2 linked regions of the Oryzias latipes genome follow. The protein of the gene in region 1 interacts with the protein of each later gene in a biochemical or structural test. Links are inferred from orthologs where the notes say so. Each region holds a gene or a part of one and is shown on either strand. Other genes may lie near its edges.

What was found. The genes of interacting proteins can lie anywhere in the genome.
Region 2: the proteins of dapk1 (region 1) and klhl20 are reported together in a solved structure, tested with the Homo sapiens proteins (2 studies listed by BioGRID and IntAct, with this or other methods). The link is inferred for Oryzias latipes from reciprocal best matches to the Homo sapiens genes DAPK1 and KLHL20.

The regions. Positions count from the first base shown.
Region 1 is NC_019867.2:1,289,304-1,294,448, forward strand, and holds part of dapk1 (death-associated protein kinase 1), read right to left. Parts: intron 5,140-5,145; coding exon 5,041-5,139; intron 3,890-5,040; coding exon 3,812-3,889; intron 3,228-3,811; coding exon 3,011-3,227; intron 2,182-3,010; coding exon 1,996-2,181; intron 1,926-1,995; coding exon 1,728-1,925; intron 1,649-1,727; coding exon 1,510-1,648; intron 1,244-1,509; coding exon 1,123-1,243; intron 1-1,122. UniProt on the Homo sapiens protein: Calcium/calmodulin-dependent serine/threonine kinase involved in multiple cellular signaling pathways that trigger cell survival, apoptosis, and autophagy.
Region 2 is NC_019875.2:20,576,106-20,581,250, reverse strand, and holds part of klhl20 (kelch-like protein 20), read left to right. Parts: intron 1-669; coding exon 670-927; intron 928-1,018; coding exon 1,019-1,127; intron 1,128-1,699; coding exon 1,700-1,906; intron 1,907-2,398; coding exon 2,399-2,557; intron 2,558-2,648; coding exon 2,649-2,743; intron 2,744-2,872; coding exon 2,873-2,988; intron 2,989-3,654; coding exon 3,655-3,838; intron 3,839-3,948; coding exon 3,949-4,092; intron 4,093-4,908; coding exon 4,909-5,042; intron 5,043-5,139; coding exon 5,140-5,145. UniProt on the Homo sapiens protein: Substrate-specific adapter of a BCR (BTB-CUL3-RBX1) E3 ubiquitin-protein ligase complex involved in interferon response and anterograde Golgi to endosome transport.

The sequences.
Region 1 (5,145 bases):
CCGGGGAGGGAGGGGGCTGTCAGGTTTCCTGCTTTCAAACCCTGTCATTGTCACGCCCCCAAGAGTCATTTACCCCACTGTGATTGGTTGGTCTGCTCCGCGCACGACAATGAGAAAGTGTCATTCATACAAACTGGCGGGCTGCAGTAACATTAAACCTTCATATTAAGGCGGGAACCGCAAAATATCATCTTGGGGGCCGCAAATAGCCTGCGGGCCGCGAGTTTGAGACCCCTGCTGTACACTCTGGCACTGGTACACTAGCCGCAGGTGGGAAGAACGAATCAATAGTTCACTTGCCCATAGCTCAGACGCACATATCAGTTTGTGATGATATTTGTCTCTCCGTTTCCTTCCCACAGATGTTTACGCGCACTCGATTATCTCTAGGCCCCTCCCCCTCCACGCATTTTAGCCACTCACAGTGGCTTTCCCTATTCTTCTCTCACGCAGTGGCCGCCTCACAGACAGGTATCACGCGAGTGTGTACGTGCTCGCGTTTCATGAGTATGTGCGCGAGTGTGTATGTGTCTGCCTGCGTCCGTGTGGGCTTGCGTCTCATTGATTATTTCATTGATCATTGACGTGCCCCTTCCACGTTTAATGTATAAAAAATACGTAGGGTGGGGGAAGCAAATTTACTGGTAGTACATGTGCGACTGGATGTAAAATTCAGTCGCACACTCTCAAATTTTGGTCGCAAAATGCGACCAATTGCTCGCAGTCTGGAGCCCTGTGTTAGTGGTATGTATGTGTGGCAGGATGGATGAAGGATGGATGAAGGATGGATGGATGGATGGATGGATGGATGGATAGATGGATGGATGGATAGATGGATGGATGAATGGATGCTGCATTTTACTCAAAAGAAATTCACTTTTTTAACTTTTGTCAAAAGTTGAATTCTAATGTTAAAATAAGATTAACAGAATGAGGATCAAAAGAACAGAAATAAAATAATGACTACTTTGTGATCAAAGTCTTTTTTAGCCTTTTGTTCGTTTGTTTGATATCTTTCAGTTTTTATAGCTTTTAGACAAACAAAGATCCGTTTTCTACTTCAGTCGGTTTTTCACACGTTTCAGATGAAACAGCGTTCCCGAGCGGCGTGCGTGAGCTCACAGAGATGACGGCGGCGCGGAGCTCCTGCAGGTGACTCCTCAGCAGCTTCACGTCTCTGGAGTTGGAGGCGCCGGCGTCCATCACAAACAGCCTGTCACTGATCTGCAGGTCGTTCCCGAACCTGCAGGAGCAGAAGATGAAGATGAGGGTGAAGATGAAGAGATTTGGTGCAACTATTTCTGAGGAAGGAAGTTTCTTAAAAAAAAAATAAATAAAGAAAATGAAGAAATCCTGAGATTGACTTTATTTATTTATTTATTGATGGATGAAGCTTTAGAATGAATCTGAACAGAAACTGAGGAAGACTTCTTTGTGATCAATCAGCTGATCAGATCCACTAATAGTTCAGAAATAGATGGGACAGGTGAACCTGGCTTTGGATCCCACCTGTTCCTGACTTCCTTCAGCAGCGCCCGCTCCTTGTCGTAGCTGAACTCTCCGGAGAAAGCCCTGGGAACGCCGGCGAGGTCCGCATGCGTCGCCACCAGGACGGCGGCCAGCGGCTGCGGGATCCGTCCTCCGAAGACTGAAAGACAACAGAGACGTCACCCTCACCGCCGGGAAGAGCGGTCCGACACTTTACGAGCGGCTTCTCTGGGACGCACCGATGCTGTCCTGTGGCGGCGTCAGCGCCTTCAGCTGGTTCAGCCAGTACGTGATGTGGCCCAGCTGCGTCTCGTACGGCTCCTCCAGGCTGAACAGGACCAGGTGGATCGCCGTGATGTCATCAGCGGCGAAGTAGTCGTAGGAGCAGTGGTACACGGGGTTTCCCGAAAACTCCCAAACGCTGAAATCCCCCACGCCTGCAGAGGTCAGGCCGCAGTTTAACACGCGTGGAGGCAGATGGACGGGAGCGGCCCGTCGGCGCCTCACCGTGAATGTTGGCGTGCTGGATGTCGATGGCTTTGGTGGCCTGTTCGTCGGCCGTGGACAGGCCGCTGTGGACGGGAGAGAAGACCTCCAGGACGCCTTTGGTCAGGCTGGGCTCAAACATCATGCTGCGACTGCGGACGCTCACGTTCTCGCAGCCCGGATACAAGTTGGAGATGCTCACCGACACTTCAGACAGGGGAGGAAGGCAGGCCGGTCAGAGCGGGTTCTAGAAACCAAACAATCCTGAAAAAAAGCTCCATCTGCTGCTGTTTCAAACTAAAACCAAGAAAAGCTGAGAACTGGAATTAAAACACCAAAGTGTGTGTGCACATGCAGTACATGCATGTCCACTCTGCACATGCGTGCTAATGCAGTGTCTGTATGAGTGTGCATGCATGTGCACAGTGTGCATGCACGTGTGCATAAATCTCCCTGTGTGTTCAAGCAGGTGCACACACATGGAGTGGATTCCTGCTAGTATGCGTGTGTGTTTGTGCGTACTTGTGGGTATGTGTGCAAGCGTGTGCACATGCATAGAATGCATGAGTGTGCGTATGCTTGTATGTGCACTAATGCTTGCATATCCACGGTGTTTGGGTGTGCACGTGTTTGAACAGAGACTGAAGGTTCTATTAGAACTTTCTTCATTTCATTGCAGAATCAGGAAGTTAAAGGTCATTGGTGGGAGGAGTCTGTCTTCTAATGAAGCTGCTTAACATAACATAAATAAAAGTCCCCCGTGCGACTGAAACACAGAGGACTTTTAAAGTCAAGTTGATGATTTTTCAGCTTTTCTGAATGAACCTTCATGTTCGCTGTGGTGCTTTTCCTCATACTTCCACTAGGGGGAACCAGAGTGTTAGCCTTTAAAAAATGTGACAGATGCCATGTTTGTGAGCAGAAAGAGGCATTTCTCTGCACATTTGTCATAAAAGAGGATTTCGGTTCAGATCCAAGTTTCTGTGAAGTTCCTGCTGTACCTCCAGAGGAGGGGCATCAGAGGAGCGTCTGGTACCTGCAGGCTTGGAGCTGACGGGGGAGTTGGGGTGGCGGGTTGTGCTGTTCCCGCGCGGTCGCCTCCTCCTGAAGAAGCTGCGCAGGATGCCGCATTTCAGAGACTCCAGCAGCGTGCTCTTCCCGGCCCCCGAGTGCCCGAACAGCTTCAGTTTGATTCTGGGCTGGACGCTCTGGGTGGGCCGCAGCTGCTGGATGAAGCTCAGCTTGAGGTTGTCCTGGCCCAGAAGGAGAGGAAACATCAGAAAGCAAAAAGAGACGTCTTTCTGCTGTGGACTCTCCATCGTTTCTACTTCTCCCGTCTGCCAAATGAGTCATCGCCACCTCTGACACGGAGCGTTTGAGTGGGAGGAAAAGCTCCTCAAACCAAAGCTGCTCTCAAAAAATGCATCTTCTAATCATTCTGGAACTGAGGTGAAGCAGAATTCTCTGTTTCTGTTTGAAAGTAGAAGATTCTGGTTCCTACAATAGCTGACCGTATTGAACGTATGCAGAAGACGACAGTTTTCGCTGCTCCTGCTCGCGGCTTTTCACGCTCGCCTTTATGTCTCGGCGGGTTTCCTGATCAAACCGCGGCGACGTCGGCTCCTGTACCGTCTGAGCTCGAGGCGGCTGAAGCCTGGAAGCCCCAAAGCTTCATGGAAGACGCTCCAAAACATAACATTTGAAGCTAAAAGCTTCACGTGTGATCGAGTGTGGCTGTAGAAAGGCGACCAAAGAGCAGCCGTGTGGCGTCATCATCTGCAGTGAAGCCCTCAGAAATGCAACAGAAAAGACTTTTGGGACGTTTCTGCTTCTTTACCTTCTTAAGCTTTGACAGCAGGGAAACGATGGGCTCGTGTCGATCAGCTGAGGCCAAATCCTCGGCCGTCTTTCCGTCCTGAAAGGAAGAAAAGAGGAAATCTCTACAGGCAGAAGTGACTCTGACAGCCAGATGGTGCAGCAGCGGAGCAACGTTTGGCTTTGGAAGCTGCTGTGACTCTGTTCATGACTCCTAAAAACCTGAGGAACATCAGTGGCGTTCGTGCAGATTTTGGCTGCAGTGTTTTCCTGTGACGTGTTGGTCATTTGTCCAACAGAATCCAAACCCCAGCTCCTGAAAATCTGCCTTTTATTTCATGTAAATGGAGGAAACGGCTGCCTGAAGAACTGCTGAGGCTCATCGCTGTCCTCAGCAGGTGAGCCTGAAGACGCCTGGACGTGAATCATAGATCAGCTGTCATTCAATATTAGCCTCTGGAGAAAAAGGGGCGAGGAGTGACGCTCGTTCGTCTGAAGACTCAGAACCACAGCTAAACCAGTTCCCCATCACTTTAAAGCCAACAGACCACCGTCCAGGCAAACTGCAGCTGTTCTCCTCCAAAAAGGATCAATTCAGACTTTTTTTACCATCGTCATCCGTGCACGCCGTCTAAGACGCAGCGCCGAGCCAGAGGATGTTCCAGTGACCCCAACGAAACAGAAAGACAAAAAGCTGCTCGAATACAGGTCGGTGATGCAAACGCAAAATTATTTGGAAGCATGAAAACTCTTTCAAAACGCCGCCCCATGTGAGGTATTTAACCACAAAACCAGGAAGAAGACGTTTCAGTTTCAGCAGGAAGAACAATGAAGGTTAAATGAGGTTAAGGTTTGTTTTTTACCTGTAAAAACATGACATTGAAGCATTTTAGAGCCTTTTCAGCAGAAAACTGTGATCTTTCATTTCAGAGCCTGAAGGCTTCAGCAGCAGAGATTTGCCTAAACGTTCTGGAGGAACCGTTCTCACAGCGCAGAACCTGAAGGGACGGGTCTGCGAGCTGAACCGAGCTGAACCAAAGCTATCAAGCAGTGCAACCAAACACCACAACCATCCAGAAAAGATGAAGACAAACAAAGATGTCAAAGAAAACCAGCATTGTCTCTGATGAAAGGCTCGGTTTGGATCAGAACCGGGTTGTTCCGTCAGGACTAGAAGCTCAAACTAACAACCTTGAGGTGGTTTTTCATAGACGGTTTGGAACCACGGACCGTTTCTGCAGAACCGCTTACGTTGGTGACGGCGTCGATGTTGGCGCCGGCCAGGCAGAGATGCCGGACCACCTCCAGGCTCCCGTTTTTAGCCGCCAGGTGGAGAGGAGTCCTGCCGTGCTGCAC
Region 2 (5,145 bases), on another chromosome or scaffold:
GGAGTGACTTGTGTGGATACGGTTACACCTTATGCTACGTCTGAGGGGCACTGGCTCCAGTAGATTTCATTTTGTTCTCATCCTCAGGTTCTTAGAAAGAATCCAGGTTTATGTCATCACTGTAAAATGCAAAATATATTTTTTATCTTCATTTTTTTTTTAAATATTTGCTGAAAATTAAGTGTCCTTCTTTCTTAGCTTGTGTGATTGTGTAGTTTCTGCCAAAGGGTCCTTAGTTTCCAGATGTTTTCCTTGACATACGTAGGGTTTCTAGGACAGGACGGTGGTTGTTTATTTAGGTCAAAAGGTTTTATTAACATGTAAAAATAATAAGGGAAAAACAGGGTATGTGACAAAAAGTTAGACTTATTTTCTTATATGACCTTAACTTGAATGATGACCATAAAACATCTAATTTTGTTCCAAAAAAAGCTTTTTATCTAGATTGTTTGTGCAGAGGTTCAATGATTTCTTTTCAAGTTTCAGCCTATGGGTTAATGGGCCTTTAAATATTCATTTTATGCTTGCAGACTGATCAGCTGTTAAAAAAACCTCAAAAAGTGATTGAAGTGGGACCTAAACATTTCATTAAAAGTTGCCTTTTTGTGACACATACCACGTTCAAACCATGCATGTAGTTAATAATCGGCACGGTTTCTTCTCGTCAAGGGCCACTAGCGCACGTCAAGACACCACTGGAATGGACATCACCAGTCGCTGTACTCTGGGGGACCCCAACAAGCTCCCTGAAGGGGTCCCCCAGCCAGCACGCATGCCGTACGTCTCAGACAAACACCCGCGGCAGACTCTGGAAGTGATCAACCTGCTGAGGAAACACCGAGAACTCTGTGACGTGGTGCTGGTGGTGGGCGCCAAGAAGATTTATGCTCATCGTGTGATCCTGTCTGCCTGCAGCCCTTACTTCAGGTAGGAAAGAAGACTGTGGAGTCGCGCTGACCCTCCTTTAGATGAAACTTAAAGGCTTGTGCTTGAGTTTGTGTTTGACTGATGTTTTTAGGGCGATGTTTACTGGAGAGCTGGCAGAGAGCAGACAGACTGAAGTGGTGATCCGGGACATCGATGAGAGAGCCATGGAGCTGCTTATTGACTTTGCCTACACCTCTCAGGTAAGAGCTGTAAAAACGGCTCCAACCCTCATTTCAATGCAGGAACATGATGAAGCTAAAGGGGGAAAAATAGGATAATGCTTGTCGATATTTCTTCAATAAAACTTTTTGGACAAAATCCAAACCTGTATACAGTAGTTCCATTTGAGAAGTGACTTTAAAATGCTTTCAAATAAACCAAAAGACTTGCCACACATTTATCAAAACCAAGTAAATGTATAGTCATAGTTGGAGAAAAAATAGGGAACAGTCTCATTGTTTTGGCTTTATATCCTGGCTTTTTTTAAACTTTGACAAATTAGAAAATCTGATTAAGATTAACAACTAATCATTTATGCACATTTCTATATTTCAATAAATCTCCATGTACGGCTGCTCCTTTCCTGAAGAATCTGCAGACATTTTGATGATCATGCACCTAACAATCGTTTGTTCAGAGCAGAATAAGGTTCCCTCTTAAAATTGAAATAGATCTAGAAATCTAGAAATAGACATACACTGCATGAGTGATTTGTATTTTTTTCTTCATGCAGTCCTAAAACCTTTAAAAGGCGTCTCTTGTGTTCTCCCAGGTGATTGTAGAGGAGGGAAACGTCCAGACGCTGCTTCCCGCCGCCTGCCTTCTCCAGCTGGCTGAGATCCAGGAGGCCTGCTGTGAGTTCCTCAAAAGGCAGCTGGATCCATCCAACTGCCTGGGCATCAGGGCTTTCGCAGACACGCACTCCTGCAGGGAGCTGCTGCGCATCGCAGACAAGTTCACACAGCACAATTTTCAGGAGGTGAGAGCATTATTGTAGAGAGCCTCCTGTGAAGGCTGTATTAGAATTAATATTACTGATTGTCTTTTTGGAGCAATCCGTTAGTCTGTTCAGTTTCATCAGTTTAGTTCAGGGCGCTGTAACCTAAAGCTCTGTAGACTTATGTGGCTCTTTTACCCCTCTAGTGCAGCAGTTAAAGAAAAATATATAAAGTTTTTCATTTAAAATAGTAAAGATAACATACCACTCTGCGAGGTTCCTGACCACGGTGCCCATAATACTCCAACGATCCATCAAGCGGTACGTAGGGACGTAACAAAAAGCATTGACTGAGTACAGTTCATTGTTTTTACTGTTGCAGTTTTTTTAGCCGCAAAACGTATTTTCTATATCAGCTTCATAGAGCTGCAAATCAAAAGAGGAGGAAGAAGTAAAGTCTGTTTTGTTAAACCTGATTCTCTGGTGGAAGAGGAGAAACTTAAAGAAATTCTGCATTGCATTGTGATGCCGTAGGTAATGGAAAGTGAAGAGTTCATGCTGCTGCCTGCCAACCAGCTGATTGACATCATCTCCAGCGACGAGCTGAACGTGCGCAGCGAAGAGCAGGTCTTCAATGCTGTCATGGCCTGGGTCAAATACAGCATCCAGGAGCGCAGGCCTCAGCTGCCACAGGTTTGTTGAAGCCCATAGTGTTTCTGCTTATAAAGGGACACGGTTGGCTTCTGATGTGTGAGCGCCCTTTCACCTTTTGCATGCTCTGCAGGTCCTGCAGCATGTCCGTCTGCCGCTGCTCAGCCCCAAGTTTCTAGTTGGAACTGTGGGTTCAGACCCACTCATTAAAAGTGACGAGGAGTGCAGGTGGGTGGGGTTTTGTGGGATCTGCATCCAAGACTCCACTCAAGTTTCTGTAAATGATGTTTATTATGACAAATATTGAAGACGACACAAAAATGGACTCGACCGCTTTGTTTTCCTGCATTTTCTCAGAGATCTCGTAGACGAAGCCAAGAATTACTTGCTGCTGCCACAGGAGAGGCCGCTGATGCAGGGTCCCAGAACCCGGCCCAGGAAACCCATCCGATGTGGAGAGGTTCTTTTTGCAGGTTAGTACGGTGGCCCTGAAGTACAAACCACAAACAAATATAATAAAGATCACAACAACAATCAGAAAAACAAATGATTAAAAAACCCCACTAAACTTTAGAAAACCAAAGTCATTTCCAGACATCAAACTGAAATGGTCAAAAATGAAAGAAAATTAGAAACCGGAAATAGGGAATTTATCCGGGGACATCACTGATTGAAGGAGGATGTTTGAGTTTTGAAGAATAGGTGGCTTAAGGAAGGTTTGAAGAAATATCTTGTCAGCAGATATTGCCATGCTAAATAACCTCCAGTTGAAAAGGTGAACAAACGTCATGATCCAGTCACTGTCCCATGAAACCTACTGTTTTATGTTTCTTTTTTTCCGAAAAATTGCTTTTCATTTCCAAAACATTTCTCTTTTTTTTTTAAATTATGTTTTGGTTTCTGTAATTTTGTTGTGATAAAATGTAAATAGATTTTTTATTATTTTTTTTTTTCTGTTTTATTTTGTTGCTGTGATCTTTAATCTGGTTTAGAGTCGAGTGATTTGTTGATGTGTTTTGCCCTTCAAGGCCACCGTAGGTTGGAACAGAAAACCGTTTTTAGAAGAAGTCAGTCCATTAAACTTTTAGCTTTCTGCTATTTATTCTCATGCTATGTTCTCTGTACTCTTTGCTCTGCAGTCGGGGGCTGGTGCAGTGGAGATGCCATTTCCAGCGTGGAGCGCTACGACCCGCAGACTAACGAGTGGCGCATGGTGGCGTCCATGAGCAAACGGCGGTGTGGAGTTGGAGTTAGTGTCTTGGATGACTTACTTTACGCAGTGGGAGGTCACGACGGCTCGTCTTATCTCAACTCTGTGGAAAGGTTGTTACTTGAGTCCTGGCGGTTTTCTCTGATCAGTGCTTTTGACCGCTTTTCCTCTGTACATCATTAGTTACATTATTTGTCTCATTTTGTTTTTTATTTACTGCCAGATATGATCCAAAGACAAACCAGTGGAGCAGTGATGTGGCCCCTACCAGCACATGTCGCACCAGTGTGGGCGTCGCCGTGCTGGGTGGTTATCTGTATGCTGTGGGAGGACAGGATGGCGTGTCCTGCCTAAACATTGTTGAAAGGTAAATGACAGAACGCAGATAATCTTATTTCGTCTCATTTTGTTCTTGGATCTAATTAATCCAATAAATAGCAGCTTATTTTTCTGGACGCATTGGAATGGAGTGGAGCAAGTCTTTTTTAAACGGCCTTTTTCCTTCTGTTCCTGATTCACAACAATTTAAAAAGAGAAAACTGCAGAAATTAAATTTTTAGCAGAAAAATGCCAGAGGAACATGTTAAAAACGCCCAAAACACAATTATTTCTCCCATAATGGGTCTTTAACCTACATTTTAAAATGCATTTGTAAATGCACTTAATTACAGCCTCTTCACTTGTTTCTGATGCATTAGATCTTAACTGTGTTTCTCACTACACCTCATCCTGTAATATGAGCTAACACCATTATGCTGGCTGCTGTTTACTCCATCAACAAAATGCTGAGTCCTCATTTGCTGCAGAAAATAGATGTGGGGAATATTTCAGCGGGAATCCCAATTGTTGTTATTCACAGTTGATGTTGACCAGATGGGTGGAGGTGAGGCACATTGAAACTTTTGCAAAAAGTCTTCCAGACTGGGAACAATATTTAAAACAACTTTGAAGTGTCCTAAATGTTTAACCACAGATGTGTTTTTGGGGCAGTCACACGTTACCTGTGTGGTTTGTGTCTCCAGCATCCCGTGCTGCATGTTGCTGTCTTTTTCACCCGGAAGCTTCAAACATTTGTATTCAGAGTACAGTTCAGGATCCGTCAGTGGAGAATGTGAACGTCTGTTGACCTCCATCATATTCTGCTGATGCGAGAAGCTTTGTCTGTACTTTCTCACGGCTTTAGGTATGATCCAAAGGAGAACAAATGGACCCGAGTGGCCTCCATGAGCACCAGGAGACTGGGGGTTGCCGTTGCTGTCTTGGGAGGATTTCTTTATGCTGTTGGGGGGTCTGATGGGACATCTCCGTTAAATACAGGTGAAATACTTCCTTTCGTGTTTACGAATAGATGTATCTCTGAGGTGCAGCTACAGTTGAGCTAAAGATTTAAATTCTGGTTTGTCCTGGTTCTCAGTGGAGA